Alligator mississippiensis: one gene and its partners. The protein of the gene in region 4 interacts with the protein of the main gene of each other region in a pairwise test. Links are inferred from orthologs where the notes say so. Each region holds a gene or a part of one and is shown on either strand. Other genes may lie near its edges. The genes, in order: EIF4E2, EIF4E, RHOBTB3 and UBXN11.

Evidence for each region.
Region 1: the proteins of UBXN11 (region 4) and EIF4E2 interact in binary tests that used the Homo sapiens proteins (3 or more experiments, as listed by UniProt). The two-hybrid records come from large-scale screens. The link is inferred for Alligator mississippiensis from reciprocal best matches to the Homo sapiens genes UBXN11 and EIF4E2.
Region 2: the proteins of UBXN11 (region 4) and EIF4E interact in binary tests that used the Homo sapiens proteins (3 or more experiments, as listed by UniProt). The link is inferred for Alligator mississippiensis from reciprocal best matches to the Homo sapiens genes UBXN11 and EIF4E.
Region 3: the proteins of UBXN11 (region 4) and RHOBTB3 interact in binary tests that used the Homo sapiens proteins (3 or more experiments, as listed by UniProt). The two-hybrid records come from large-scale screens. The link is inferred for Alligator mississippiensis from reciprocal best matches to the Homo sapiens genes UBXN11 and RHOBTB3.

The regions. Positions count from the first base shown.
Region 1 is NC_081830.1:84,413,537-84,421,401, forward strand, and holds the start of EIF4E2 (eukaryotic translation initiation factor 4E type 2), read left to right. Parts: upstream 1-4,847; 5' UTR 4,848-4,936; coding exon 4,937-4,956; intron 4,957-6,252; coding exon 6,253-6,367; intron 6,368-7,865. Other genes in the region: cytochrome P450 2J5, read left to right, coding at 653-840, 2,181-2,322, 3,316-3,494. UniProt on the Homo sapiens protein: Recognizes and binds the 7-methylguanosine-containing mRNA cap during an early step in the initiation. Acts as a repressor of translation initiation.
Region 2 is NC_081825.1:160,612,215-160,620,148, forward strand, and holds the start of EIF4E (eukaryotic translation initiation factor 4E), read right to left. Parts: upstream 3,005-7,934; 5' UTR 2,929-3,004; coding exon 2,911-2,928; intron 1-2,910. UniProt on the Homo sapiens protein: Acts in the cytoplasm to initiate and regulate protein synthesis and is required in the nucleus for export of a subset of mRNAs from the nucleus to the cytoplasm which promotes processes such as RNA capping, processing and splicing.
Region 3 is NC_081826.1:239,081,152-239,088,044, reverse strand, and holds the start of RHOBTB3 (rho-related BTB domain-containing protein 3), read left to right. Parts: upstream 1-3,888; 5' UTR 3,889-4,214; coding exon 4,215-4,216; intron 4,217-4,366; coding exon 4,367-4,592; intron 4,593-6,893. UniProt on the Homo sapiens protein: Rab9-regulated ATPase required for endosome to Golgi transport. Involved in transport vesicle docking at the Golgi complex, possibly by participating in release M6PRBP1/TIP47 from vesicles to permit their efficient docking and fusion at the Golgi.
Region 4 is NC_081829.1:3,174,455-3,181,544, forward strand, and holds the start of UBXN11 (UBX domain-containing protein 11), read left to right. Parts: upstream 1-4,078; 5' UTR 4,079-4,330; coding exon 4,331-4,395; intron 4,396-5,011; coding exon 5,012-5,133; intron 5,134-6,379; coding exon 6,380-6,487; intron 6,488-6,895; coding exon 6,896-6,996; intron 6,997-7,090. UniProt on the Homo sapiens protein: May be involved in the reorganization of actin cytoskeleton mediated by RND1, RND2 and RND3. Promotes RHOA activation mediated by GNA12 and GNA13.

The DNA of each region.
Region 1 (7,865 bases), on a different chromosome or scaffold from region 4:
AAAGGCCCGATCACACAGTAACACAGTTCTCACAGCCTTTAAGGCAGACAGGGTGTCAAGACAACAAGGTCAATGGCTAGACATAGCCTGGGAAATTGTGGGCATATATGACACTGTTCCATAACATGAGATAAGGTGGCACCAGCTCACAAGGCCTGAGGGTGGGGGCCCTGAGAGTTCTGGTTTTGGGGGAACAGACAAAATTAGGAGGACATTGGAAAAGCCCAAATTAGGATGCGTGCATGTGATGGGCCTGTGAAACAAAGGAATAACCTGACAGGACAGAACGTAGACAGTATGATGATCACAGAGACCAATCAGTGATAGCCACGGATGAAGAGTCATCAGGAGGGAAAAAAATAAAAAAGCAGAAACTTTAGAGCAACAAAGGGTCCCCATCCCTGACAGGGGAACCCAGGGCAAGTTGACAGAGGGAATATGACCAGCCCATCTCATCCACCCCACTGGGGAGAATGCAGGGAAGGGGCCTTGGCCTCCAGCCTCCTGAGCATAATAAGGGACAAAGTTGTATGTATGAACTAGGAATTAATCTGATTTAATCCTGCAATTTACAGTGACTTATTTTGAGAAGCCAGAGTCCATGCTTTGACCAATTTCTTAAATTTTGGTTTCTGACAATTTCTCCCTGCAGAACGAGTCCAAAAAGAACTGGACACTACTATTAGCTCATCTCGTGAAATTCGATATGAGGACCGAATGATCCTACCCTACACAAATGCAGTTTTACATGAAGTTCTGCGGTATAGCAGCATAAGTGCAATAGGGGTTATACGAAAGTGTGCCAAGGATACAACTGTGCAGGGCTTTCCAGTTAGTAAGGTATGCTAAGTATATTACCACACTTCAGAGGTGTTCTCTGGGCAAAATTTGAAACAGTAATAACTCCCACTTACCTTTTTAAACAATAGATGTTTTTTCTGTGTTTTGTGCAGGAATGGTTTACAAGTAAGGTTGAACAATTTGTAAAAAAAACTCTTTATTAAAAATAGGTATTGGATAGGTTGCAGGATAGGTTGTGGACCTCAGTAAGTAAAGGTTAACTCCTGCACAACTTTACCTTTCTTCTGCCTTCAACCTCTAGCCCGCAGGCAGCCCACAAAGCTGTCATACAGCTCACAAGGCTCCCCACAGGTCTGAAAATTTGGCAGCAGAAGAATGGTGGCAGAGTTAATTGCCACTCTTCTCCCAAATTTCCAGACCCACCTCAAATTCTGTAGGTCAGATAACATGGTCTTGCATGCGATAGATCACTACAGTACACAGTCAGATCAAGGTACACAGGGTTGGGCTGGTACATGGCAAGATCCAGGTGCACAGGGTCGGGTTGGGCCAGCACTTAGACAAGTTAGGGCACGTGAGGTCAGGCCGACACTCGGCCAGATCGGGCCACGCGGGGGCGGGCCAGCACTCGGCCAGATCGGGGCACGCGGGGGCGGGCCAGCACTCGGCCAGATTGGGGCACGCGGGGGCGAGCCAGCATCTGGCCAGATTGGGGCACATGAGGTCAGGCTGGCACCTGGCCAGATTGGGACACCCAGTATTGGGCTAGCGTGCTTAGATCGCACATATAGATCAATCCCACACAGGAGCCAAGCCACAGACCAACCCTGTGCCACTCAACTCACCCATGGAGCTAAAATGTTGGGCACTATTGAAACCAAAGGCAAAAATACATAAGTTAAATGGAAAAAGGCACATATTCTAGAATAAAAGGAATTTTACCAATAGAAATATATTCCTTAAATTTATTCCTTACCTTATACCTTCCCAAGCAGATGAGACTTTACAGATAGCTCCTTGGGAGACAGCGAGGAAGATGTCTTTGAGGTCATGCTCCACTGATCGCAACTTTAGAATTGGGTTCCACACTCAGTCTGGGGTGTTTATTTTTCCAGAATTAAACATTCTAATTTTTGGCTGTATATTATCGTCCTCAGACTGTTTGGAATCAATCTTAAGACCTTGCTGCTGAAGTAATTGTTTTAATGAACTATTCTGTAGTATGTGTCAGAGGGTGAACATGTAAGAATTAGCTTGTTCTTGCATTAGGCACTTTTAAAGGGATATGACAGACTGCATTGGGAAGCCATAGGAGGTCCAAGGATGTTTCTGCTGGGAATATTTTTTTTATTTTCTTAAGGAGTTGTCTTTCTTTCTAGGGCACTTTAATTTATCCCAACTTATTTTCTGTTCTGTATGATCCTGACCATTGGGAGACCCCTCAAGAGTTCAACCCAAGTCACTTCCTGGACAAAGGTGGAAACTTTTTGAACAAAGAAGCCTTTTTGCCATTTTCAGCAGGTAACATTAATCCCATTACACCCAGTGTAGCAGGGTACTTGCTCCACAGACTGATATCTATTTAGCCTTTCATCCGATCTTATTTTATAAAACCCAGTAAAGTCTTGAGCTCAGAAAACAAACGTATTATCTCCAACGGCGGATAATTTCTTTCTTTCTTGAAGAAACTAAGACTAACTGCTCTTTGAAGCTTCTTAGCAAATTTATCTGGAATTGTGGTAGCAAAATGTGTTTCCTTGTGGCAGCACTGAATTCTGACAGATACTGAGTGTATTCATATCAATCACATTTAAATGGAGAGCAAGCAAGTAATCAGCAGGATTTAAAAACAGACTGGATATTGAACACGAGAGCAACAAATATCCATGGTAATTTAAGGAAAAATGGTTTTGGAAGGAATGTAAAAACTTACTTTTCAGAGAATAATAGTCCCATCTAGGGGTAGCTACAGCCAATCAACGTATTTTTAGAAGTGTAGAAACTCAGGTTACATTATTAGTAGCTTCTAAACGTAACCTATTTTCCTAGCGTAGGCATGACTTCTAAGACGGGGAACACTGACTTGATCCCATTTGGCAGAGGAGATGGGCGGTCCAGTTGTTAGAGTGCTAAACTAAGACACCAGGGTTCCCCAGTCTACCATAGACTTCCTCTGTGATTGCGGGCAAGTCACTAAGCTTCTCTGTGCCTCAGTTTCCCTCCTGTAAAATGGAAAAATAGCACAGCCTTGTAGTGGTGTTGCAAGAATGAATATGGGAGACAAAACAATGACAGAAGACAAACAGGTGAAATGTATTCTTGTTTTTTTAAACTTTCTGTGATCAGTGCCTCTGGTGCTCCCTACATCTATACAGTATCAAGCCATACTGAGACATTAAACATTGTCATTTATTTCCAATGAATTGTATCCTTCCTCAACTTGGGGGCAGAGGCATAATTCCACTTGCAAGGGTTATTAGATATGTGTGATAAATTCTCCTCTTCACCCTGCAGGACACCGTGTCTGTCTGGGGGAACAGCTGGCAAAAACAAGTCTCTTTATCATGTTCTCCAGTCTGCTGAGAGCATTCACCTTTCGGCTGCCGGAAGGAGTGAAGGAAATCAACAAGAAGCCTATCGTAGGGTTCATTCTGCAGCCCCAACCCTATAAAATGTGTGCTGTTCCTCGTTAAGTTTCTGTCTTCCCAGACACCTGCTGGGAAGTGGTTTTCGGATTCTCGAATGGCATCCTTGGCATTTGGAAACCACTGCTTTGCAAACCCTTTGTCTCTTAACACATTACAGTTGTTGTCTGACCAACAATCCTTGTGCTGAGTCCCTAAAATTCCTTTCAGCGAGCTAACAAACCATGCCTGCTTGTCACACGGATCTCAACATCAAGCCAAAGAGCCACCCCGTCCTTGTGGTGCACGGCACAGCTGCTCGGCTGGAGGGTGGCATGAGCTGGTCCAGAACTACTATTTCCCTAGTAGAGAGAAAAAGAATACAAGCAACCGGGGGCAAATCCGAGGGGTGGGGATGGCTTGCATCGGTGCAGACCAATATGGCTATCAACATAGGCGACTGGTACCTCCAGCCGGGGGGGTTCCTCCAGTTGCCGATCGCCGAGCCAGCGGCGAAACCGGAAGCGTGCTTCCAATTTGCGGCTGGCGCTTCCAGGGAGCACACAGCCAATCCCAGAGGGTGCATGTGCACGCACGTGTACCCCTACACATCGCCAATGGCTACCAAATACACCCCTGGTAGTGCCTGCAGCATTTCTAACCCAGCAGCGACAGAGTCCATATCATTTATGGCTCGTTATAATCTAGACGATCCCTTTTAAACCCTGCCTTCCAGAGGCAATAATAACCCCGTCTTTCTTCACGGTCGTGATGTTCCACCAATCAAACGGTCCTTCCTTCTCCCAATGCCACGGCCTGTTTGCCGCTCCTGGTAGCCAAGCTCCTCTTTCACGGCCCTACACCTCGCTTCTAACTCGGTCCAGTGAAGCCGTACGTGGTTTTTGCTGCGATCGTCGCCTGCGTGGTGCAGCCTGGCGTATCAGTCAAAGCTTCCGGCTGCGTGTTGTTTTCAGAGGGGATGAGGCACCCTGCTCCCCACAACCCCCTTTTCAAAATCTTCCGTCCGCCCAGGCGAGCAGTTGTTAGCCGTGGCTGGTTTTCATTCCCAGGCCGCAGCGCCTCACAACTAAGGCAGGAACCTGCTCCCTCAGAGCACGAACATGAAGCCACGAGCACCCACACGACCGTTGGGGCCACCCCGTTTTGGCGGGAAGGCAGCGGCGCCCTCCAACGGCCGCTCGCGACATCACACGCAGCCCCCCCCAACATGGCGGCTCCCGCGGTGGGTCTGCCACACTCAAAATGGCGCCTGGCAGGGCTCTCCCACACTCAATATGGCTGCCGGGAGGGAAGGTGCCACACTCAAGATGGCGGACGAGCCGCTTTGACATTCCCTCACTATGTGCTCGGCGACTATTGCGTCCCCCCCGGAAACTTGCACCCCGGCGGAAAGGTTCCGCTTCCGGAAGTGGCGCGCGGGCGGGTGACGGGGGCGGCCCCGCAGGAGCGGAAGGACCTGAGGCCGAGGCAGGCGGAGGCGGCGAGCGAGGATGAACAACAAATTTGACGCGTGAGTCGCGCCCCCCCGCCTCGGCTCCGTCCTCGTCCCCCGCCCCCCCGGGGGGAGCCGCGGCCGTTGGTCCGGAGGGGGCGGGGCGCGATGTGTGACGCGCGCGTGGGGGAGGGGGAGGCTTGGGGGGACCTTCCTGGGCCTCAGTGTGGAGGCTGCTCAGACCCAGCCCCTGATTGGCCTTTAGAAACGGGGGCTGAGCCCCCCCCCACCCCCCTCCTTGGTGATTGCATTCACTGCTTGGGACAAATTAACACCTAATGGACCAGGGGGGAGGAGGGGTGGTGGGCGAGCGAGTCCAATGAGCCGCCCCGTGCAACCCTGCCTGCAGGTGTGCGCAGCGGAGGGGCAGGAAAGCAGCCCCGCCGGCCCCGGGGCCTGAGCCCCGTCCTCGCGAGATGATTCGGAGCCTGCAGGAGGCCGGCCGAGGGGTCCCGGGGTTTGGGACGTGGCGGGACGGACGTACGGTCTGACCCGGCACATGGCACTTCTCACCTGCGTCTGATTTTTGGGCTTAAATGGGAATCGACGGGGTAACGTGCCTCGGCTTAAATAGTTATCGGTGGAGTCATATACCTCGTCTTAAATAGGAATCGACGGGGTGATATACCTCGTCTTAAATAGGAATTATGGGGTAATATACCCTGTCTTAAATAATAATCTATGGGGTAATATACTCCGTTTTAAATAATAATCTATGGGGTAATGTACCTCGTCTTAAATAGTAATTATGGGGTAATATACCGTGTCTTAAATAGGAATCTGCGGAGTAATATACCTCATCTTAAATAGTAATTATGGGGTAATATACCTTGTCATAAATAATCTGTGGTGTAGTATACCTCGTCTTAAATAATAATCTATGGGGTAATATACCTTGTCTTAAATAGGAATCTAGGGGGTGATATACCTCGTCTTAAATAGTAATTATGGGGTAATATACCTCATCTTAAATAATAATCTATGGGGTAGTAGACCTCGTCTTTAATAGGAATCTATGGGGTACTATACCTTGTCTTAAATAGTAATTACAGAGTAATAGACCTCGTCTTAAATAGGAATCTACGGGGTAACGTACCCATTATTGGTACAGCTAAGTATTGGATAACAAATGATGCCTGGGCGTTGTATCGGCCACGGGACCTGTGACGGGTGCGGGGCTCATAACGCACCTCCCTGCACGAGTCTCTGTCGGGCTCCCAGCTTCTCTCTGTGTCATGGGGTGCGCGTTGGGTGGCCACATTTTTGCTCCTGCGCAACTTAAGGCTCTCTCTCCTCCCACCTCACGTTCATCAGTTTGAAAGATGACGACAGTGGGGACCATGACCAGAACGAAGAGAACAGCACACAGAAAGACGGTGAGAAGGAAAAGAACGACCGGGACAAGCCCCAGGGCAGCACCAAGAGGAAGGTGAGTGCTGTGCGCTCCACTGCTGTCGTCAAGGCACGGTTGGAGATGCTGGACTTGACGGGGCTTGATCAGTCCAGTAGCTCTGCTGTAAGGAAGATGCATGTCGGCATGTTGTTATTTTGCTTGCTGCTCTGTCAGTGTGGTACTAACAAACTAGGGCTAATGAGCGTACAGTATAATAAGCTGAGCTCGAGTACCCTGTTCACCGGTGCAATTAGAAATCTTCACCCAGTGAGTTGAACTTGTGGAAACAAAAAGCAAAGCTTGACTTGCTTCAGGCAAATCTCAAGAAGTATTTGCAGATGGGAGCTTGCTCTTGGTTTCGAATGGCGGTTCTCAAGCAGGGTACTGTAGCATGCTGGGTGCCATGCAGCCCTTTTAAGGGTGCCCTGAAGTGCTGTGCAATGCTAGTACTGTTAAGTGTGCAAACACCTAGATGCTATTTGCAAGATAAAACCAGACACTTCAAACAGAAACCCAGAGTTTCATAATCTTTCTGCTCTGTTGTGGTCTTTGTGAGCTTTTTGACAAAAAATAATTGCTCTGGTATGTTTTTGTAGTAAAAAAAATGAGTGAGAGCTTAGGAACCAGTGTTTTCAAAGGGGGCCTGGAGTCTAACACAAGGCTGCATCGAGGTTGAAAACTGCTGGTTTAGAAGATCAAGTTTTGTGCTGTTGTTTAAATAGTCTGTCCTTGAAGGGTGATTACAAGCAGATACAGCATGGTTCAGTCAGGTTTGGGAAACCACCTCCTCTCCTTTAATCTTGCGCTCATTAAAACTTGCTCTCTAATTAGTGTAACATCTTTGCATGATCAGCTTGGACCTTTTCCTTCTCCCTTGCATGATGGAACCTCTGTCAGGTTGGTGATTCTAGTGTAACATCTGTTTCTTGGCGACTGCATTAATGTACGCTGGAAGCCTTTTATATAGGCAGTGGCTGTTCCTGGCACTCCCTCTGTCTTTATCTGCCTGCGTGCTGACAGTGCTCTGAGAAAGCTAAATGACTGAACCCTGCCACTGGAATTGTGGTGGAGTATTTCACTTGATTTGGGGTTTAGTTCACTTTAGATGCTTTTTCTTTTCCCAAAAGAGAAGAATAGACTACTCTGTGAGAAGCTCCCGTTCTCTTCTTTGTTTTGCATTCCATGGCCTGTGACAGCCTTGACCGCTGCAACTGTCCTGGCAGCCCAGGGTTAAAGGGAGCCGCTCCAGAATTTATTAATGCCCTTCCTAAATTTGCCTGAGGGGTTGCTATCGGGTGACATTCTTCCTGGGGCTGGGGCTGCTGCCCCTTAGCACTTTCCCTTCCTGCTCGAAGAGCGAAAGTACTCTGGATTTCTAATAACCTCTTTGAAATACAGCCGATCACTGCTGAAGTAATGATCTGTGTCAAGCTATTAACCAGGATGGGATTTTTCTAGGAAAATGAGGCTAAACTGTTCCTTTTATGCTCTGTGGTGGCAGGACCACGTGCCTTTCTAATGCCATGCATATAGC
Region 2 (7,934 bases), on a different chromosome or scaffold from region 4:
CGGACTTGATGATCTATTGAGGTCCCTTCTGACCCTAACATCTATGAATCTATGAAAAGAGATGAAGGCAAATTCCAGCCTTGCAGTGGCAGCTAAGATATACGTCTATATCTATATGTAATTTTTCACTATATTTTTCCATGAACAAAAAAGAAAGAGGCTGTAGATATACCTGGAATTTTAGCAGCTATTTTGGCAAAATACCTAGCACCTTGAATGTTATACCTCAACTTAACTGCTGACCTTTTGAATTAACTTATTACAAGAAGAGTCATTTCAGTCATGAAAGTATCATGGGCCTTGATACTATATATACTTGGTATCTAATTTTATACATGCCTATTCAAAACTAGAAAGAGCTAAACAGACCTCAGCAGTTTCAGCCAAGAGTTCAGTTCAGAAAGTGCAATTAGTTCACTATACCAAAGCAACTGGCATGTACATCAAACAAAAAGTTAAAGAATAATGAGCAGAATGAAACCTATTTACGATTTGGGAGATGGAAGGTCCAAGCTGATTTATATAAAATGTTCATGGTATTCACCTAAAATATTTATTGCATTAGGACAAAAGCCTTTTTTGCCCTTACAATTATTTTCTGGAAGCTATTGTTGAACTCTAAAAAAATAACCAAAACGTGTGAACTTTTCTAATAGAATGTAATAGTCCTTTTCTTATCAGACAAAAGTTCATTCTAAGCTGCAAAACTACTACATTTTAAAAATGCAAGATAACAATATTTGGAAAAATGCAAGATAACAATATTTGGAAATACTGTGTAATTCAGTCGGTGCATGTGTGGAGCCAGGCCCTTTGAACCATCTTTCTATAGATACATGATTAGGTGGCTTAATGGACAACAAAAACCCATGTTAAAAATATTTGAGACTCTGTGAAATATGATTTTACATTGTACCTCATAGGTTTTCAAGACTGGAGAACTGCCTTTAAAAGTATTTTCAAGAAAAAGAAACCAACATTGCTTTAGCATCTAGTTCACCTCTCTTCTGGAGGCCTTATCCCCCTACAGGGCAGTGCACTCTTGTCCCACCCACCATCCATATCCTCCTTACAGAAGTTCTCTTTCTCCAACTCCAGAGAAGTGTGGTGACACATGGCAGCTTCATAAAATGCTTCCATTATAACAGAGGAGAAAACATCAGAACTGCAGAAAAAGGAAGGATTCTATGTACCCAGATTCAAATTCTAAAAGTTTCAATAGCAGACATTCCCCCTCTACCTGCTCAAAAGACCCTTCCCACTTTAATCTGAACCACAGCGAAATACATTTCAATTATGTCTATTATGGCAACACTGTCTGGTCTGGACACTTTATAAACACACGCACAGCTGAGATGTCAGGTGGGCCTAGGAAGTTGGGGAAAAAAGCACGTCAGGAATGAAAGAAGGGAGATTAGAGAGGCAGACCCTTTAACTCAGATAGAAAAAGGTAACCGAGAGCGGTGGATAGTTATTTGGTTCTTTAAATTAAATATGCTTGGTCTCAGTTCAGTCTCCAGTGGCTGTCCAGTCATCATTACAAGCAGTGATGTTGACAGTCACTGCAAAGAACTGAACGAACATAACCTTAGAGGGATGGTGACTCCCAAATTAAACACAGAAGACAGTGACTAGGCTACATGGAGAAAGCCACCTGCACTGTCTGTTGCTCCAGTTTTCCCGGTAAGTGAATTACCTTGTTTTTGAGAGCTGGTAGGCAAACACTGTTTGTATGCACTAAATTTTAACTGTCATCTTTTATCTTCCATTTTAACGATATTTTTGTTCTTAGAGGAATCTGTTGCCTGGAAAAAGGGACACAGGCATACACACAGGTGGACCCCCCCCCAATTATTTCACAGGAGTACAACACAAGATCTTTTCAGTGAAGTCTTAAAATGCTTTTCATCTGCAAAGTCGCTGCCCTTTACTTTTTGTTAAATAAGACAACAAACTGATGACAACCCTTTTAAAAGATTGATTTTATTTGACTTGTAAAAAGCAGTCCATGCCTAACGGCAGGCTCCAGTGTGCATACCCAGCCAGTAAAACAGTGACTCCATGCACCTCTCCCAGGCTCCCCTGCCCAGCCCTGTTCGGCCCAATCCCCCAGCTGCAGCAATGGTATAACTAAGATTCCACTGCATGGCGCACAGACAGCAGCAGCGGCTCCTGGCAGGGAGGGCTGAGAGAATATTTAAATTGGGATTTTGAGATAGAAAAAAGAGCTCAAAGGATAAAAAAGGGGATGGGGGGTTAAACCTTTCCAGACCACGGGGCAGCGCTGCCCGACTTCGCTCCCGCAGGACAAGGTCAGCGCGGCCCCTGCGCTCCTGCTAAGAGGCGGGATCCTGCCTGGCGCTCTCCAGCCCGCACCTCCGCCACGTGCGGCCCGGCGCCAGCGCAGACGGAGCGCACACGGCCTCCCCGGCCCAGCGCGCCAATGCGGCGCAGACTAGAGCAGACGAGGGGGGAGGGGGCGGGCGCCCCCGGCCCCTTCCGGCCCCCCCGTGGGCGGAGACCACCCCCACCCCCCCAGGCGCCGGAAGCACCGCGCCGGCCAGGCCGGGGAAGCGCCCGCGTGGGGCCGCCCCGGCTTCCCCGTGGCCGGGCGGGGCGGCAGGAACCGCCGGGGCCTCCGCTCCCCCCTCCCCACCGGCTCACGCGCCCCCCCCCCTCCCCTCCCCTCCCGCCGGCCCAGCGGTGACGGCACAAGTCCCGCGCGCCGCGCCGACCTCACGCGCTCGGAATCCCCCCGCCCCCCCTCCGCCGCCCCCGCTGGCGCCTCCCGTCCCGCTCCCCTCCCCCACGCCCGGCCCGGCCCGGCCCGACCCCGGGACCTCCCCGCGGCGTGGCCGGGCCCGCGGCAGCGAGGGACCGGGCCCGGCCGGGAGGGAATGAAACACTCACCGGTTCCACCGTCGCCATCTTAGATCGCTGCGCTCGCACCAGCGGCGCGGGGCGGGGCCGGGGGGGGGGGGGGGCGGATGGCAAACCAGGTTCAAACGCAATTGGCCGAAGCGGGGGGTCACGTGAAGCGCGCGGCCGTTTGGGGGCCCGCGGCGCCTACGCGCGGAGGAGGGGGAAGGGGCGCGCGGGGCCTTCTGGGACGTGTAGTCGCCGCCGGGGAAGGGGTGGCCCCTTCACCCACTCCCCCTGCCTGGCGCTGGCGGGACCGAGACAGTCACATGGGCCCGGCGCTCCAGGCGGAGCCTGAGGGGACGCGCCCCCTAGCGGCCGGTCGGGGAGCTGCAGGGGCGCGGGCGGAGCCGCCCCCAGCTGCCCGGCGCCCACTGCCCGGGGGGCGGGGCCGTGCGCGCCTGCTCTCACAATGCGGGACTGGCCCCGCGGGCACGGGTTGCCAGGGGCACCGTAGTCATCGTGTTTGTAGGGTAATTTCAACCCTTGCGATCAATAATGGTAAAAGTGCTCAAAATTTACAAATGCAGAACTCTAGCACATTTACAATATTTTTTGAGGAAGCGAATCGATGCAGCATCTGCAAAACCCAAGTCATTCTCAGGGAGTCTTAACTGACTTTTGGGTTTGGGGTTTTTTGGTTTGTTTATTTATTTATTTTGTATTCCAGTCAAATTAGCCAAATAGTTCTGAATCCTCTTGATTGAGCAAACCTCAATCGCATGTGGTGTTACAACCAGCAAGTATCGTCCACACCCCAGACTTTTCAGCCTGGGGCTTCAGAGACTCCCAGATCTGCTGGTGGGCATCCTGCCTGCAGGCCCCAGCCCCACTGGAGGCTGGCCACTGGGAAGCTAGTTATAAGACCCTTATAGGGTGTCCTGTCCGCAGCGCATTGGACAGGGGTGCAGCCTCCACTACAAAATGTCACTTAACTCCACCTTGGGTTGGGCAGCACACCAACACAGTGACTATAGCTGATCTTAGCCCACATACCAGCATTTTCTTATGACTGCTTGTCTCAGAAAATTAAAAAAAAGCTTTAACTTGGATGAGCCAATTCTCACTCACTGGCAACTCAAAGTGAGTATTATAAAGTAAATAAGAAGAAAACTTGTTTGCATATGTATTTGCATATTTTTTCCATGTATGATAGTTTTTCAGCAAATACATTAATTTTGAGCTTCCAGTATAATAATTTCATAGTTAAGATCTGGCAACGCTGGTACGGCCAGCTGGGCTGGGCTGCCCGTGTGAGATGTGGTGCTGTGGTAGCCTGGCTGCTTGGGGAGATCATAGACCTCCCACAGAAGCTGGGCTGGAAGGGGCCTCCTCAGCTCACTCTGCCCAGCCCCCTACCTGAAGCAGGAGTGTCCCAGTCTGAACTGCCCCACACAAGCTGCAGCCTTGACCACTGTTGACCCTGACACAGCACAAAACACTCAGAACCTACCACAGGTAAAGCAGGGCAACCGCACAGCCAATGTCCTGCCTCCATATCAGGTGGTTAATACACATTCATGGGACCCTGGGTAGCAGGGCATGGCCCCATACAGAGGAAGGCAAACCCTGCCCCCTGATCCCCGTGGGTACCAATCTGGCCAGGGGGTGAAATTTGTTCCTGACCCCAAATACACTGATTGCTCTGAGTATGAGCAGCGGAGCAAGAGCCTCTAGACAGGAACCTCCAGCTTTGGTCTCAACAGAAGCAGTGACACACCCCAAAGTCCCCAGCCTTGGCTGTTGCCAACACCCAATGCCTCTAACGGAAGCATAAAAACACCCTGATACATGTAGCAGAAACAGGGGCTGGGGCAACCAGCAAAGTCCAGAAGCATGGGAAATACCCAGAGTAGAGCATAAGCATAGCTACGCCTAGATCATCCCTGACCAGTGGCTGTCCAACCTCTTGAACACTTCCAGTGATAAGAAGTCCAGACTTCCCTAGGCAGTCTGTTCCACTGCCGCACTGTTCTAACAGTGAAGACATTTTTCTTGATATCCAGTTTAAACCTACTCTGCTGCGACGTCAAGCCGTTAGTCCATGTCCTACTCTCTGCAGCTGGTCCAGGAGATGCCAAGGCATTTTTTGGTGATATTTTTGCTTGGATCGACTGTATGGTTGGGAGGGATGATATCAGGCAAGCTTCTGGGCAATGAAGAGGGGCATGTGGTATCCAGAAGCTCATCAAGCATCTCTCCCAACTATGCAATTGATCTAAGGAAAGATGGCACCAAAAAACCCTTGCTCTGCCTGTCTGTAGCAGGGTGTAAAATTCAACCTGAGCCTCAGGTCAGATCCAGACCCTGAGGGGTCCTTCCAGGCCAGATCTGCAGGGCCAGCAGTAGCTGCAGTAGGTCCAGTGGTGACGGCAGACGTCCAAGGGCAGTGATACAGGTTGGGTAGTGGTGGAGCAAGTGAGGGCTGTATCTGCATAGCTCTGACTTGCCTCCTTTATCATTGACAGCCATGTCCATTAGTGCCCAGCATAGGCAACTGGTGCCTCCCGAGTCTGGGGGTGCACCAGATCTCCGACTGGGGGGGTGGCCATTTGCCAAGCCCAGAACCACTAGCAGCGAAACTGGAAGCACGCTTCCACCGGCACTTCCAGTTTTGCAGCTGCTGCTTCCAGGGGGTGCATGGCCAATCTCAGGGGATGCATGTGCACCTGCGTGCACCCCCTACGCATTGCCAATAGTGCTCAGTGACTCCTAATTCTGCAGCAGGCTATGCACCACTATTCCCTCCCCCAGCTTCCAGGAGCCCATTGGACTAACAGTGCACTGCATGAAACATATGGCCAGTTATGTTTGACACCCCTTGTCTACAGCATTTCTAAGCGGCTCACCACTATAGCATCTTAACACCAAGCAATGGGATAAATCTCCATTTGCTGCCTTACAGTTTCTCTCCTCTCCTGGATGAGGGAAGATTTGGCTGCCAGTGCCTTAGAGAGATTTGATTTAAAAAATCTCACAGTCTTCCTGCCATTGTGGCCTGTGACACAGCTGCTCTCTCCCATTCTGAAACTCAAGGCTTACAAGTGTCTGTGTAAAAAGTGGTTGAGATAAATTCACCTCCCTCCATATCTCAAAGATGTCTGCATTTTGTGGACCATCCCTCAAGCAGCCCCATGGAGATTCTGGCATTGCTTCTTGGCAGCTGAACTCCTCCCAAAGGGGCATATTTGGGACAGCAGCAACAGGCAGCAGTTTCGTTTTTCTGAGTTCTACTGCTATGAAGCCAGGAAAAGCCCACAAGGAGTGTGGAAAGCAGTCTCAATCCTGGGTTCCCCCTGTACTGACAAGAAGCAAGCTCCTATGGCTGGGAGCCCCAGGCACCTCAGTTTAGGGGCTCCCAGCTCCGGGTGCACCCCACACACCCCTGGAGCTGGAGGATTGCTGCTGCGGTGATCTCCCCACTCCAGGGGTGCAGGAAACCTCCAAGGTCAGAGGTTCACTGCAGGGTAATCCCCCTGCCTGGGGGTATAGGTAACCCCCAGGATCACCAGGATCCTTTGGCCCCTGGTGGTTTCCCATACCCCCAAACCCTAGGGCCCAGGGTGTGGGAAATTCCCAGAAATCTCCAGACCCTGGGGATTGTGGCTGCTGTGATTCCTAGGGCTCAGAGGTTTTATACTGGGCATGGTGTATCCCTGCAGTTGGGAACCCCACCATCTGATGGGGCTCCCAGCTACAGGGAGGTCCTACTGCACCTGCAAATTAAAGCTCAATAGCAACCAGCTATAAAGTTAGTACACACTTTTGAGTTCTAATTTGATTGCTGGTTGGAGCTTTTTATTGTGTGATAGCTACTTCGCACGCGTAGCTGGTTTCCAGGAAACTACACAATTAACCATTTGAGGGGATCTTACACTTAACCTAAATAAAGGGTGGCTGCTACATTCACCAATTTTGACAAAGTTTAACCAGATTTATCACAAAACTATTCCCTAGAAAAAGTTAAATTTCCATGTATTGTTCATTTACTTATGAAATACAGTGGGGCAACATGTAGTATGGCAGCCAAAATATTCAATGCATGTTTAGGTTTAATATACAAATGTATCTTGTCAGCAAGGATGTTACAGTCAGTTTTTCAACAGCACTGATTAGATTGTATGCAGAATATTTACACAATTCTAAGCATCTCTTCTCCAGAAAGAATATCAGGTTTGCAGAGCTGGGTGGAGAACAAGCTCTCTAGCTTGTTCTCCACCCAGCTCCATGATCACAGAGCTGATCAGGGAACAGGATCTCCAGCCCCTGCCTTGTGATTGTGGAGCTGGGACTCCGCCCTGTCAGGGTCAGGTCCCAGCCCCTTGCCCTGATCAGGTGATCAAGCCACCTGGCTTGGAAAGAGCTGCAGGGGTGGGGCAGGTCCCAGCTCCCTGCCCCAATCCACTGGTGGGGGCACCTAATAGTGAGCCCCTGGCTAGGCGGCTCGCTACTAGTTGCCTTACCAGCAGGTCGGGGTTGGGACCTGGGACCTGCCCTGCAGTTCTTTCCAAGTCCAATGCCCTGATCAGGGAGCTGGGGCTGGGGACTCCTTGCTGCTGGGGCAGGAGGACATTGTTCTTGCCCTGGTTGGGAGACAGCTATCTCTTAGCCCAGCATTCCCTGCCAGTCCCTGGGCTAACACCCAGGGGAAGCCTAGAGCTTCCTCCAGTGGTGGCAGGGGCCCATTGCAGGGCCCCAGGAAGTGAGAGCATTTTGCTGCCATTAGCAGCAGCAAATCTGCTCCTGCTTCTCTACATGTGTAAATGCCTGCCCAGGAGCGTTTACTCTCAAGTAGTTTACTCTCAAGAGTAAACTACTTGAGAGTAAACTGCACCCAATCTAATGCACCCACTTAAACCCATAGAGACAAGAGACTCCAACCCCATGGGGTTTAATCCTGTCAATTCTCAGCCTCTTCACTCACCAGATTCCCCTCTTCACAAGTAAACCTGTAAGTAAACCTACTCGGAGGGCTGTTGATAATCAAACCACAAAACAGGGAAATGAGGATTAGC
Region 3 (6,893 bases), on a different chromosome or scaffold from region 4:
TGTTACCAGGTCTTCCTTCTCCACAGTATGCAAGATAGATGAATTCACTGTGTCTTTTCTCTTCAGGCCCTGTGGCTGCTAGGTAGTACTGAACGTCCTCCAGTTAGTTCTCTGCTAATATTGCCCAATATCAGAAGAGCAGGTGGATGTTGCAAAACTTCCATAACTAGCTGTCCTTTTACTTAACCTGTGGGTAGATCACTTATGGTGGCCCTTGTCCTTTCACGTGGCTCCGTTGCTTCACTTATTTTCAGTATTCAACTTTTTTTCAGTTTGAATCTCAACTCTTTAAAGTTCTTTCTCATTTGCCACTTCTGTTACCTTGTAGTGACCACCAGCTTCAATAAATGCAGACATACATGAATGAGAAAAGCTAAAAAGCAAGTTTTATTAAGCAAGTTCTACAGATCCCCTGTCTGGCTCTAACAACTGGCTCACTAGCTGCTACCTGAAAAGTGCAGACAGAAATGACATTTTTCAAGTCATTTCAAGATCTGGTCCTTGAAAGTGCTCCACAGCCGTGACTAACACACATGCATGGCTGCAGAGCACTTTTTAAATGGTCGATTGCACAAAAAATTAACCCTGGTTAAATCATGTATTACATTAAGGAGCTCAAAAACAGAGTGCCTGAGGGAATTTGTGTTCCCTCCAGGGTTAATTTTTCATGTGGGGGGCAGAGCTGGGCTGGTGCTCAGTCCCTCACCTGGGCTATCAGGGGGGAGAAGAGGGAGCTGCTGGCTGTTGAATGGCCAGAGCTGGGGGGAGGGAATGGGGAACAGGGCAACCCTGCCTCATGGCTGGGGCCAGGCCCTCCAGGGAAGGGGGCTCCATCTCCTCCCTCAGCTCTAGCCATCCAGCAGCCAGCACAGAGCAACCAGCTGCCAAATGGCCAGAGCCACGGGAGGAGTGTGGAGCAATAGGGCCCCCTTGCTTTGTGGGCCTGACCCGGCTCCCCCCAGTACCCCAGTTAGGATAGCTGTGGGGGCCAAGAAGCAGAAGCAAGGGGGACCAGTTCCCTGCCATTCAGCAGCTGGAAGCTCTCTTGTTGACAGCCCTGGGGGAGGGGCCAAGGCTGGGGAGAAGGGTGGTTTGGCAGCCTCCTGGAAGGCTGCTTGAGCCTGGGCCAGTGCCAGGCTGGCTCCAGCACCCCTCTCCTGATCCAACAGGCAAACGTCGTTGGGCTGGGGGGTGCTCTGACTCATGGTGCTTTATATAAAGTGCCATGAGATAGATTGGGGCCTGTTTAATGTCTGTCTGCACCCTGAGAGACCATCTCCCATTTTCCAACTCCCTCAGTCTCCTGTTTTGGAGCCTGTCTAAATTATAACTTCTGTCACTACACACCCGTCTTGGGGGTCTGTTTAATTTACAAGATATATCAGTCTCAGGCCCAGTAACCCTTCTGTGTTCTGGTCTTTTCATACAACTGAGGTAGTTTCAGAGTTACTCATCCCTAGAGTTCCTTGTTAATTAATTCATACCAGTGGGTCTCAACCTTTTTAGATTCTGTGCAGGCCAGGAGCAGTCCGAGGCTCTCGGGGGCGCGCAGCGGGCTGTGGCCAGCAGCCCTGGCACGCGGGTCGGGGAATGCAGGCCGGCGGGCTAGAATTAGGCACGGACATGTAGCGGTTGATTAAAGATTATTTTACTTACACCGTAGATGGTCGCGGTGCAGGCAGGAAAACTTGCTTGAGTTGCAGTTACAGACAGAAAAGAAGAGAAGAGGACAAGAGTTCCTTCCACGCGAACCTCTAGCCCAATCCGGTTGAAGGCTCTAAACACGCGAGCCCATCAGTGTCAACCGAAGAAAACAACTCGGAGAAAGAGCTCTGGATACACTCACACGAAGTTTGCTAGGCTCCGTGGAACTTGCGCGCAGGGAAGGGGTTCGTCAAGGGATCGTTCGGCGACAGGGAGAGGCCAGAGGTTGATCAGACCCCTATAGCCTTCTCAAGGTACGTGCTGGGTCCGATAGGCTCCGCAGTGCTTAGAGATCTTCACTAGATGTGAAGTTCTCCTCCTGATAGTTGTGGAGTCCTCCAACTTGGGCGGAAACCGCTCAAGCCTCTTATACAGCTAGCAAGCCAATTGCTAGCCGCCACGTGGGAATAATTTAGAACTGGCCAATAGTGGGACACAAATTTGCATGCGGGTGGCGGGAACTCCTTTGCACCGTGCATTTCTCTTTGCAACTGAGAAATGCACCCTGCAAAAAAAGCTCCTTGTGGCGGGAAATAATTTAGCAGTGCCGAAGCGCATGCACACAAAATCACACCCTTGGGTTGTGACAGATTTAAGGTACTTCTCAGAAAAAGTCATCTCTTTTCTTTTACTTGATTTCAGATTACAGAAAAAATACTCTGCTTTAGAGTACCATTTCTCAAACCGTGGGTCGCAAGAATACACGGAGGGGTCACAAACAAACCTAAAAAATGGATCAACAAACTTTAAAAAATGGATTCTCCTTTAAAAAGGAGAAAAACTTGGGAAACTGGCTTTTCCCCTGCAGGCTGGCTGAGTTCCAGGCTACATGGGGGCCCCCCCTGTCCCACACACTGGGGGCCTGGGTGCAGCGTGTCAGGAGTGAGGGGCACTGGGTCAGGATGATTACAAATGGGTCCTGGTACAAAAAGGTTGAGAAACACTGCTCTAGAGGATATCTAAGTGCAATCAGCCTGGAGTCGAAAAACAAGCTGTTACACAAGCAAAAGGCTGCAACTGGTCTCCTGTGAAGGCTCTTCTCATCTGGACTGCCTTTCTCCAGCAGTGCCAGGTCTTAAATATGAAATTATCATATTGGAAACTCTAAATTACTATCTTTGCTGAAAAACTGTTGTACACTGAAAAAAAAGGAAACAAGTCTGCAAATAAGTCTTATTTACTTTCTATTGCTCACTGTATCTCCAGTGAGTGAGTGAGAACTGGGTCATCCAAGTTGAAGCATTTCTGTATTTCAAGGGAAGCAGTCATAAAAAGTACAGACAGCAAACCCTCCCTAGCTTGCTCCTTGGGGCCGAATGGCTGGGGGAAGCAGAACTTGGGGGCATCCGAACCCCAAGCTGCTGGGCTTGGGCCTGCACATAGGATGCCCGCCTAAGGTTTTGGGAACATCAGAAGCCCCAGATGGGGGTGGAGGATGTTTGCCAGTAGTAGGGCCACTTACGGTTCTGGACTGGCCCTCAGATTTGGAATTTGTTTTGGCTAATTTGGCTTGGAATATGGAAAATTTAAATAAATAATGAAAAACCCCAGCAAACCTGAAAGACTCCCAGAGTGCCTTGTGTTGTACATAGGCCATATCAGTTACCTGCTCCGAAAATTATTGGGTAGCCAGGTTGTAGCTGTATTGGTCTAGAGGCAACAAGGAACCCGGCCTCATAGTAGAGGTGGTATGTTTTATTAGACCAACTAGATTTTTGCAAATGTTTTTTGCAGTTTTTTTTCCCCCCAAAAATCTAGCTGGTCTAATAGAAGATTATCACCTCTACCACGAGTCCTGCCTCAAAAAAACCCCGATCGTCCACTTGGAGCATGTATACTATTACTGATCGTGCATTGTACAAGGGCTGGAACAACCATTCAGAGGGGATAATTACCGCCCACCCGGCAACGCCGCCTTTGTGCCCCCTCCGTTGCTGAGGTCCTCTCTAGCCAGTTCAGCAGGGCTGCCTGGCCGCAGATTGGCTGGCAGTGAGCTCATGTATTTATGTAGCTTTTTTTCCCCGTTCTGCACAGCAGCAGCAGTGCACTGGGCAGCCTCCCTCAGCGCAGTCAGCTGCTGCCTTGGCCGGAGCGCCTTTGTCTTTCTGCTGCCCCGGCTGCGCGGTGTCGGCGCTGCAGAAATGTGCAGGCTCCTCATTGCGTGTATTACGCTCTTAGGTAGGGTTTATTGACGTCAGGAGGAGGCAATGGCTGAGCCCGCGGCTGCCGCGCTTGGTGCTGCAGTCCCCTCCAGCAGTAGCAGATGATCCGGGAGCAGGGGCTCGCGCTGCTGCTGTCGCTGTCACGTGCGGTTACACACACTGACTTGCAGGGGCCGGAGCACTGAAGGCCCCCGGGAGGCACTGCACCCCGCGGCACGACTGCTTGAGGTGACATCCGTGAAGCTGCCTGTGGAAATGGAGGAATAAAAAGCCAGAGGAGTTGGGGCTCTATGATGCCGGCAGGACTCTTTCCCCCCTTCCTCTCCTCTTGCTCTCGGATTTGACATCATGTATGTGGTTGATGGCTGGGTTTTTAGGAACGGCTGAAAGAAGAGGCTGGAGAAGCGTTTAGTAGCCTTGTTCTGATTTGAAAGGATCTTTTTTTTTCTTCCCTCCTTTGCTAACAGTAGATGTTTCTCACTTTCTCCTTATTGTTTTAGGTCCGTTCACATTGTAGCCTTTGGCAATGAAAGGGAGGCCTTTTCAGAGGAAAATCAGCAGCCCAGTCTGATTTGGACCTATCTGGGGAGAAGCGCTCTCATTTCAGAGACTGAAAGCAGTTTGTTGCTGAACTCTGCCAGTCACGTTGGAAATCCTGTTTTCACTGAGTATCAAGCCCGCGTGTTTGGAAATGTCAGGCTGGTGGTACATGACTGTCCCCTTTGGGTAAGAATCTAGGGTGAAACTTATAAGCTTAATTTAAAAAAAAATGGAGCTGCTCCTAATTCAATGCGGTTTTTATTGAGTCTGCCAATTTCACAATTGGAAACAATAAACCATTAGAAGTGGATTTACAATTTTAAACACATAATCACCCAAGGATATTCTCCCATAACCAACAAGATGAAAAGCCCCTTAGCAAAGCCACTGCCTACTGACCTATATGAGGAGGCAATATTTTCAACTCGCTTGTTTGGTAAAAACTGCATTGAAAAGAATCCAAAAGAAAACAAGAAACCTTTTGTGTGGCTTGAAAACCAAACTCTCTCTCTGAGTTATCAAAATGTTTTCATATATGCTTTGCTTTACTGCTGTAGGGAAACACTTGGAGAGGGAATCTGTTTCCCAGAAATAGTCCAGCTTTGAAAATTACTGAGACATTTTGTAATGGGGCAATTTGGAGTTATGGTGTATGAATTCTTTTTTTTTTTTTTTTTGTTGGTTCCTGTTTAAATGTGTTGAATTATCAAATGCTGAAAAGCAATTCCTGAGCCAGAAAAAGAGAGAGAAACAGTTTTTGATACTGTTCCATTAATTCAGCACTTCTGTTTGGAAGTAAATTTATTGAATCCTGAGCAAAAATTGACTTGTTACTGACCTTGTGAGTTTAATGGAGAACTGATGGGTTCTCACCAGATTTAATGTTTGTGATTATTTCAGAGCACTGTTCTTTAGGATTGTTGTTTAGTCAGATATACTTAAATTCAGTTTCATAATATTACTTAGAGCCTCGTCTTGAAATCCTTGCACACACAAAATTTCTCTGTAGAAATTCTGAGTGGAAGAACTCAGCGATCAGATGCCTTGTTCTCCAGTGGTAGCCATTGTGCTCTGTGTGTGTGATGACCCGGTCAACTAGAATTGAGGGCCCAGTTTTGAAAGTTTCACCTTGCATAGTATTTGCATGTGTTGGTCTGTGGAACCACACCTCACCGTAAATGCCATTCAATATGAATAAAGGTTGGAGAATGGATGTATAATGAGACTGGAGGATATCAATAGAAGAAACTGGAAGGAGGATTGGTAAAGGTAGGGCAAGGTTGTGTGGTCCTGGAGAGTGTTCACAAATTTCAAATGTTTGATTGACCTTTATCAGTATTTGAACTTCTGAGCTGCTGAAGAGAGAGCAAAATTTTCAATTCTGGAGGCTGTAGGTTTGCAGAAACTAAATATCAGTAGCAGCAGCTTATATTGTTTTGACACCTCCTCCATGTTTCCTGAAGTGCTATACTCTTCTATCTCCAAGCTTTCCCAGCTGGAGCAGATAAAGAGTTTTTAATATAGTGGGTATTTTTTTGCTTACTTGGAGTGGGTAGTTGTATAATTGGGTTCTCTCTACAAAAGGCTGGTGCTTGCTGTGGAAGAGACTGTTTTGGCTTCTTTAGCTTGCTCTTTGGACTGTTACTTAGACTTATATTTGATGACTATGCCTCTTCTGTGGGAATAGGCCTATGGAAATTATAGAGGTGCTCCTGCTTGTCACAGGTGATTTGGGACAGATCCAAATTGTTCTTATAAGCACCTCAATTTAGGTACTGCAACACCTGAGAATTACATACCTTGCCCCAGTAAGGTGAGCCAAACTAACAGGCTTAGGCATCTAGATACCCCCTAGGAAATTAGATGCAGGAGTTAAACCAGGTAGCCAGTATGCTAAGCAGGGAGATATCAAGAATTAGTTAATAGGAAATGCTGGAAATAGGAATGTGAAAACTCCTGCTTGTCTCGGGCTCAGATGCATGACTCAGGGCTGCACAAAAAGTCTTAGGCACTTCCATAAACTCAGGGTCCAGAAGTAAGGTGCCTTCCTGAACAAACACCTAATGCATACTGACTGTTCAGTACAAGATGCAGGACATTAGGGTTGCTCTCAAACACAGCCAGTGTCAGTGGTAGTGCTGGTGGCTGCTTTCTGCATAATAGATTGTTAGTTGGAAATGGGAGGGTGCAGAGCTTCCTCATTTTGAGGGGGCTGGAACCCACAGTTTCCACTTCCCAGGAGAGTGCTGTAACCACTAGGCAAGCCGCAATACAATTCTCTAATCAGAGTGAGTGCTCTTCCTGTTGAAGCTGTCTCTTTGGGCAGGATTGCTGATGTGAATTTTTTCTGAAAGTGCATGGATACTTCTGTCTAGGTGTAGAGGTATCTTTTCAGACCAGAATGAAGATGCAGATTGAATCTCTAGGCAGTTGATTGAATTGTAGACAGTAGAATGGGGTTGATCTGAACCTAAATCTAGATCATCG
Region 4 (7,090 bases):
GCCCATGGCAGGGGGTCGGACTTGATGATCTGCTCAGGTCCCTTCTGACCCTACGAACTATGAAACTATGAATCGTGGACAAAGACTCCTTTGCATTAGGTACAGACACACAACAGAAGACAGTTGTCCTGCCACCAAGACCTGCCAACCTAAGACCAGGCAGATGGGATATTATAAAGCAGCTCATCACCCCGACTGGGCATGGAGTCTCAGCACCCCAGCAGCACGGTTGCTACCCAGGGTGTGGGCAATGGAGAAAGGAGAGTTTCACGAGGGAGCTGCAGGAGAGCAGTGCAGTGGCTTCACAGATGGGTATGAGCAGCTCCGCCCCGGTATAACAGGAAAGACCACGAAAGCACTCAAAGGCATGAATAATTAAGGAGGGGGTGATGGAGCTGGCATTGGGGCAGCTGCTGAATGAGAGCTGCTCAGGGGGCAGGGAGAGGCTTTGAAAGTGAAGACAAGCTGAGGGTCTGTTCCATTCACCTGCCCCCCGCTAGGCGCACCTACAAGAGTCCCTTCAAATTTCCAGTGGCTCGAAGGCCATTGGGGGAGTCCCCCATCAAAGTCAATTAGCCACCACCTAAATACCTTCCACTGCCCAGCCCTTGCGCCCATTCCCCTCCTAAAAGTCTGCGTGGAAAAACGTGCCTTGTATCCTGCCGGAAGAGGTAAGAAGTCTGGTCTCTGGCAGGCCAACACTTAATCTAATTACTGGCACTAACGGGGAAGGCAGTGAGCAGAGAGATGAAACCACAGGTGAGTGACACCGGGTTGTTCAGCCTGCCGAGCCGTAGGAGTGAGAGCTCTTGTTTTGATATGTACAACGCACCGAATCCTGCAAAGCCTGCAACGTCGCATCTGAGCTGCTTGGCCCTGTTGCTGGCTTCCAAATAACTGTAACCACACAGGAAAGCGTGCGCACTTTTCTTAGTGAGAACCGTTGCTCTGCACTGCGTGGTGGGAAAAAAGCGAAAAAACCCAAAAAACCCAATTCCAACCCGAATGCTTGGCTGAGAACAGGACGGATGCATTAGTCCCCAGAGCAGGTCACAAATAAACTGCTCAAGGCGGGAGATGCTCTTGCTGGCAAAATGCTTCCAGAGGGCAGGGCTGAGGGGACACCTGTGACACAGCGACAGAGCGGGGCTCGAGACAAGCGACAAAAATGACAGTCCGACACCAGGGTGAGAAGAAGCTATAAAATAGATTGAATTAGACTACGCTACAGGATAACTTCAAAGCAGGCAGGAAAGGAAGGTGCTGTGGACCCCACCCTGCACCTGAGCTCATGGAGGTGGCTCGTGTGTTGCTAATGCAGATGTGGTGGAGGGGAGGTGCGGGCTCCCCCAGCACCACGCGGGCTGCTCTTACCATGCAGAGAGACATGAGGTTCATGAGGAGGAGGGTGCCGACCAGAACAGCCTTTACGTTGTTCATTCTTCTCTGGGTCTCGGATGCGACTTGACTCGTGCGTGGAAGCTGTCCCCTCTGCTCCTCTCAGAACAGAGGCAGCAACTCTTATGTTGCCTGCTAGAGAAGGGAAGAAAGAGCTCACCAATCACGTGTGGGCTTGCTGATCTAGGTCACGCCTGCCCATCCGGGGTGTTGGTGGGACATGTGTTCAAATGTGGCAGGACCTCCAGTGCTGAAGGGACCTGGAGTATCTAAAATCATTTGCTCGAAAGCCCCTGCTAATGTCCCAGCTTCTCGGCGTGAGCCGTGCACCTCCAGCCCTTGGTGGTGACCAGGGTGGGCATGAAGGAGGCTCATGTGCAGAGCCCTAGACTGCAATTCGGGGCTGGGGAAGGGGCTGGCAGTGCTCTGGGCTAGGGTTTGTTATCGGGGGAAGGCTTGTTGCTGAAGGGTGTAGTGGTGTGTTTATCCTCCGAGGGGTTTGTAACGAGGCTCCTGGGATCTGGAGGCTTGGATTGACTCCTGAGAAGAGAGGCAGGAGGACATGGCAGCCAGGGTGGGCCTTCCAGGTTCTCCACCGTGGTCCCATGCCACCAGCCCTCTCAGCTCCCTAGTTTCCAGGAAGCCCTGGTCCCCCCAGAGCACAGGGCCGGGGGGGCTGACACTCCTCTGGTCTGGTGTGAAAAGGAGCGGGTGAACATTACCAGCGGTTTCTCTGCCCTCGCCCACGCCTTCTCCTCAGGATGTCGAAACTCAAAGCAAAAACACCCCAGCTCGCCACGTCCCACTTGGCTCCGAGTGTAATGAAGTCACTGAGTTTCTCACAGGTTCCAGCTAAAGCCATGAACGAGGCCAAGCTCCCTGGAAAGCTGGCCCAGGTTCACTGGGAAGCACGTGAACATCCGCCAAACTTTGGACTGAATTTCCGGCTCATAACAAAGCTCCTTAGTTTCCACTCGAGAGCGAGAGGCGAACTCGAGCTGCAACGCTCAGATTTCAGCTCCGAGCCCATGAAAATCGAGGTGTGCTTTCAGCAGAAAGGAGGATTTAGGGCCTCGCTAAGCTTATCTGAGCACAGGCATCGCCACAAGAGGGGTCGGACCCGACCAGCTGGAGCGTCCCGTCCCGTCCCGTCCCCTCAGCCTCCTCTCCCCAGCTAAGGGGGCTTCGTTTTGCGCTCGCTTCCGTGCCGAGCCGCGCTCGCTGGGCCAGAAAGCAGCAGCCGGCGCCAAGATTGCTGCACCGCCTCATTTACATGGTACTTTCGGATGATTTCTGCAAGGGAAGCATCAAAGTGAAAGTCTTCTGGGTGGAAAGCTGCAGGCCATAAAAGGAGCGAAGCTCGGAGCCCTTCACCCCCCAAACGGGGTCAACGGTCGTTGGGTTGGGGGTTTTTTTTAGCTTTCCCCACACAAAAGGAAACGCCGTCGCCCCAGACCGGAGCGAGACGAGAGGAAGAAACCAAAGGACGGAAAGGAGAGAGAGAGAAACAATGAGAAAACAGGAGACCGGGCCTCTCGCGGGCGAAGGCAAAAGCCAAAGCGCACAGGGCTGGGCCGGGCCGGGCCGACCACAGCAGCGCTCCTTCTTCTGCTTTTTCAGCGGAGGAGGGCGAGAAAAAGAGGCGGGCTCCTCACAGAAACGAAACTCCGGAGGCGACGAAACCCGGGGCCAGGCGCAGCCCACAGGCCGGGCCCCGCTACAGGTTTCGGGACCCCACGCTCGCCCCTGGGGACACACACGGCCCGGCCCGGCCCCGGCCCCGCTCCCCCCGGGCCGCACGGCCCAGCCAGGGGCCGCAGGGCACGAGGCCGGGCCTGGCCGCGCTGCATGACGGGAGCCTCCCAGCCATGTGAGCGCCTCTCAGCCAATCCCCGCGCCCGGGCGGTCACCCGGGCAACCGCCTGTCAACAACATGGCGGCGCCGGGCCGCGGGGGTCGGTCCCAAGCGCCGCCGCAGGCCTGGGGCTGCGGCCGCTGACGTCACTGCCGCGCGCGGCGACGCTCCCTGCCAGCACTGCAGCGGTAGGGGGATGCCTCGTGACCCCACAGCCGCGCAGGGTGATGCTTTCTGATGTCACTACTGTGGCACCGTGGTGCCTCGTGAGGTCACTGCTTTGATGGTGATGCTTCTGACATCACTGCTGTGGCACGGTGATGCCTCATGAGGTCACTGCTTTGATGGCGATGCTTCTGACGTCACTGCTGTGGCACGGTGGTGCCTCGCGATGTCGCCGCCTGTCCTGGCGACGCTTCCCGATGTCACCGCTGGCAGAGTGACGCCTCGCGAGGTCACCGCGTTGCGCGGTGATGCCGCCTGATGCAACTGCAGCCGCGCAGGGCGAGCGCGTGGAGCTCGCGCTGCCCGGGAGGGTCCCGTGAGGTCAGCGCGGCACGGCGCAGCGCGGCGATACCTGGCGATGTCACGGTCTGCGATGACATGCCGAGGGCTGGGTGGAGCGCGCTGGCTTCTGGAGGCAAAGTCCCCGCGGCGCTTTGCTTTGTGCCGACCGACAACGGGCAGCCGTCGTGCCGGAGCTCGCCCCCCGGGGCAGCCTGCGCCCACTGTCCAGGACGGCTGCATCCACGTGCCCGGCCTCCATTCGCACCGTCCCACCGGACCCAGAGATCACAGCAGGAATGGCCTGGCTGGGACCTGCAGCCTCCGCCAGGCTCCTGCTTTGTCTGAACGACGCCGGGTCACGCTCGAGACTCCCCCCGCGCCCGCCCGCCCGGCACGACCCCTCTCCCCGTCCCCGCGCGGGATGACAGATCGCTTCCTAGGTCCGCCGGCTGCCTCATGGTTTCTCTCTCTCGCGTCCAGGCACTCTGCTGCTCTCCATCCCATCCCGCAGCCCGGAGGCGTCGCCTCGCCTTCGTTCCCCGGGATCTAGGGCGGACCGAGTTGTAAGCCATGACGTCCCCTCTCTCCTCCCTGGGAAAGCATCGCAGAGTCCCGCTGCAGCTCCAGAGTCCGGGGTAAATGAGGCGTTACCTTTGCTGTACGCAGCGTGGGGGCTATTGTTTCTTTTGCAGTTTCCATCCTGAGCGCTTCTCTTAAACGTGATAATCGGGGCATGAGGGATGAGTGCCTCCCGGCCAACAGATTCTCTCGTAATACACTTCACAGTCGCGGGCTGCATGGTATAAACATTTTTGAGGCCTTCCTCTGCCCTTGACCTTCAGGGTGCTGAATCAGTGCCTGCTGGAATCAGGAGCAGTTAAGGATTCTCCAGCCTAGTCAGCATTTTACAGAAGAAGGCCCTACAACCCAGGGCTGATAAGAATAGTATCTTAGCTAGTTAACGGCAGGGAAAATCCTGGGATCCTTCATGCTGCTACAGGAGGTATGTGACACGCAGCCTGGTGCATTGCGCCTCTTACCTTCCCCTTTCTGTAGCCTGAAGCAGCTAACCCTGGTGGCAAGCAGCAGTTTCAACTCCTAAGCTGCCCTGCCTTTGCTGGCTGTGTGAACACACTCATAGCAGAGGGGAAAAAAAGCGAAGTGGGCTGCTTGGGTTTGGATCAGTGCCACAAAAGGATAAGCGCGCGTAGGCAGTTGTATTGTACCAACACATTTCATTGTAATTTCCAGGGCTGTTACCTCTAAGCCAGATCACACAACAGATCATTCAGCTGCCTGCTCTGTTTGTACGAGATCCCCTCTTTATTCTTGCAGGAAAAAACCTGAGCCAGCTAAACAGAGTGCCTGCAGTGGTGAGTTAAGATCTTATTATCTTTGAATCCTAGAAAATGAGGGTGGGAAGGGACCTCAGGAGATCACACCTAGTCCAACCCTTGCTCAAAGCAGGACCAGCCCCAAGATCCTGTGCACTAATCTCTATTTTTTCTAGTTGCCACCCCCTTTTTTCTCTCCCCTTCCCACGTGCTGCTGCTCAGAGCGATGTGTGGTTTCCATGTCCTTGCAAGCTTTAGAACAATTTAGATCTCTCCAGTGATTACTAGCTCTTAATTAGGCTGTGTCATCATATTGCCCTTTCCCAGTGCTAATACTTTTCTTCATGTCCCTCCTTGAAACTCACTTCTGTGCAGCTCCTAAGTGATGATCCTTGTCCATGTAATGCTATTGGCAGTTTGTTACTAAAACTGGGCCCCGCCATTTACCTCCTTCAGTCTATCTGCACCTCCCCTCCACCCAACAAAAAGATGCTTTGCCTTGGCATCACAGTCTCTACCCCAGTACAGTTTGGTGTTTGATCTTCATTTAGACTAAAGGCTTCTTGGGGCCAAGGCAGCAGGCAGGCTAAATTGCTCCCAGCTGGATTCTGACCCCTTTGCTTCAGACTGTAATCTAGATCCCTGTCTTCTGACAGCCAGCTCCTGGCTTGTGGCTTTAGTTTGGTGATCGCCCACTTCCTGGTCCCTTACAGCTACAGCTGACTGCTCCAGACCACCTGTCCTGGACCCACTTTTCTTGTGGCTCTGTTGCGATGACCACCTGTATTTCAGTCCCTGTTTCTCATCGTCTGATTCATAGCTTCCTTCCTGACCTTGTCTGCTTCTGATGCCCTGGGTTATGACCTTCTGGGTGAAGCCCTGTCCACCCGCATCCTGCTCTTCCAACAGAACCATATTTTCCTTTGGCTCTTGGACTGTAGTGAGCAGTACGGTACAGGATGCCTGGTTAAATCCTGATGCTCGCACCTTTGAGAGCATTTGCCTGGGGTGAGTTGGGGGTCACACCACTTTCCCTAAGCTTCTCTTTCCCTAATGACAAGGCATGCTTGCCAGTACATGCTGGGTCAGACCTATGGTCCATTGAACCCAGTATCCCAGCACCAACGGTGGCAGGGGTGAATGCTTTAGAGGAAAAGAATTGTACCGGGTACCTATAGAATGATCTATCCCCTATTTCCTGGCATCCGAGGAGTTTAGAGAAGGTGCATTTAAAGATCTGACCTAACTTTTTCTTGCTTTCTTCCTTTGCCTTTTTTCTTCTCAGAGGATGAAGCCGCATTGCTGAATGACATCCTGCCTCCTAGGACAAATGATGCCTTGCCAAGTGAATCCCCTTCCTGTTCAAAGGGAAGAGCAAAAGCGAGCAAAAGTGGTAATGATGCACCTCACGGGACAAGAGTCACTGAGCCATAAGGTAGTGCTTGCATGTGGCTCACCCAGTGACAGTCCTTGGACTCAACACTCATGCCCAGAGTGATTAGTCCTCGATTCATATGCCCAGATGTGACAGTCTGGGCATATGACGTAACAGATGTCCCAGGAACACACACACACACACACAGTGCCTGCTCCAAAGGCCATATATGCACCAATCATGGCCACAGAAGGATTCACGCACAGCACTTACAGGGAATCCATTCATGCAGCCTGAATGGCAAATCGGTTCTTTTACTGAACCTTCAACTCATGTAATGGGCACTGGGTGATCATAAGGGCACTTTTTGGTTGAATTATTCAGAATTAAGATTTTTTGGATGCTATGTTAGACTTCTGCTTTCAGGGGAAGCTCCTACTGACATGGAACTCATGTCCACCATGATGCAGAAAATTATTAAGTTGGAACAAAAAGTTAGGAGCCAAGCCCAAGAACTCCAGCTGAAGGTAAAATTGCCAGCCCGGTTGTTCACGGTGTAAGCCACAATAGGCAGGACCACGTTTGGGTCTAGTTTGGACTAAGGCAGTATAATCTGTAGAC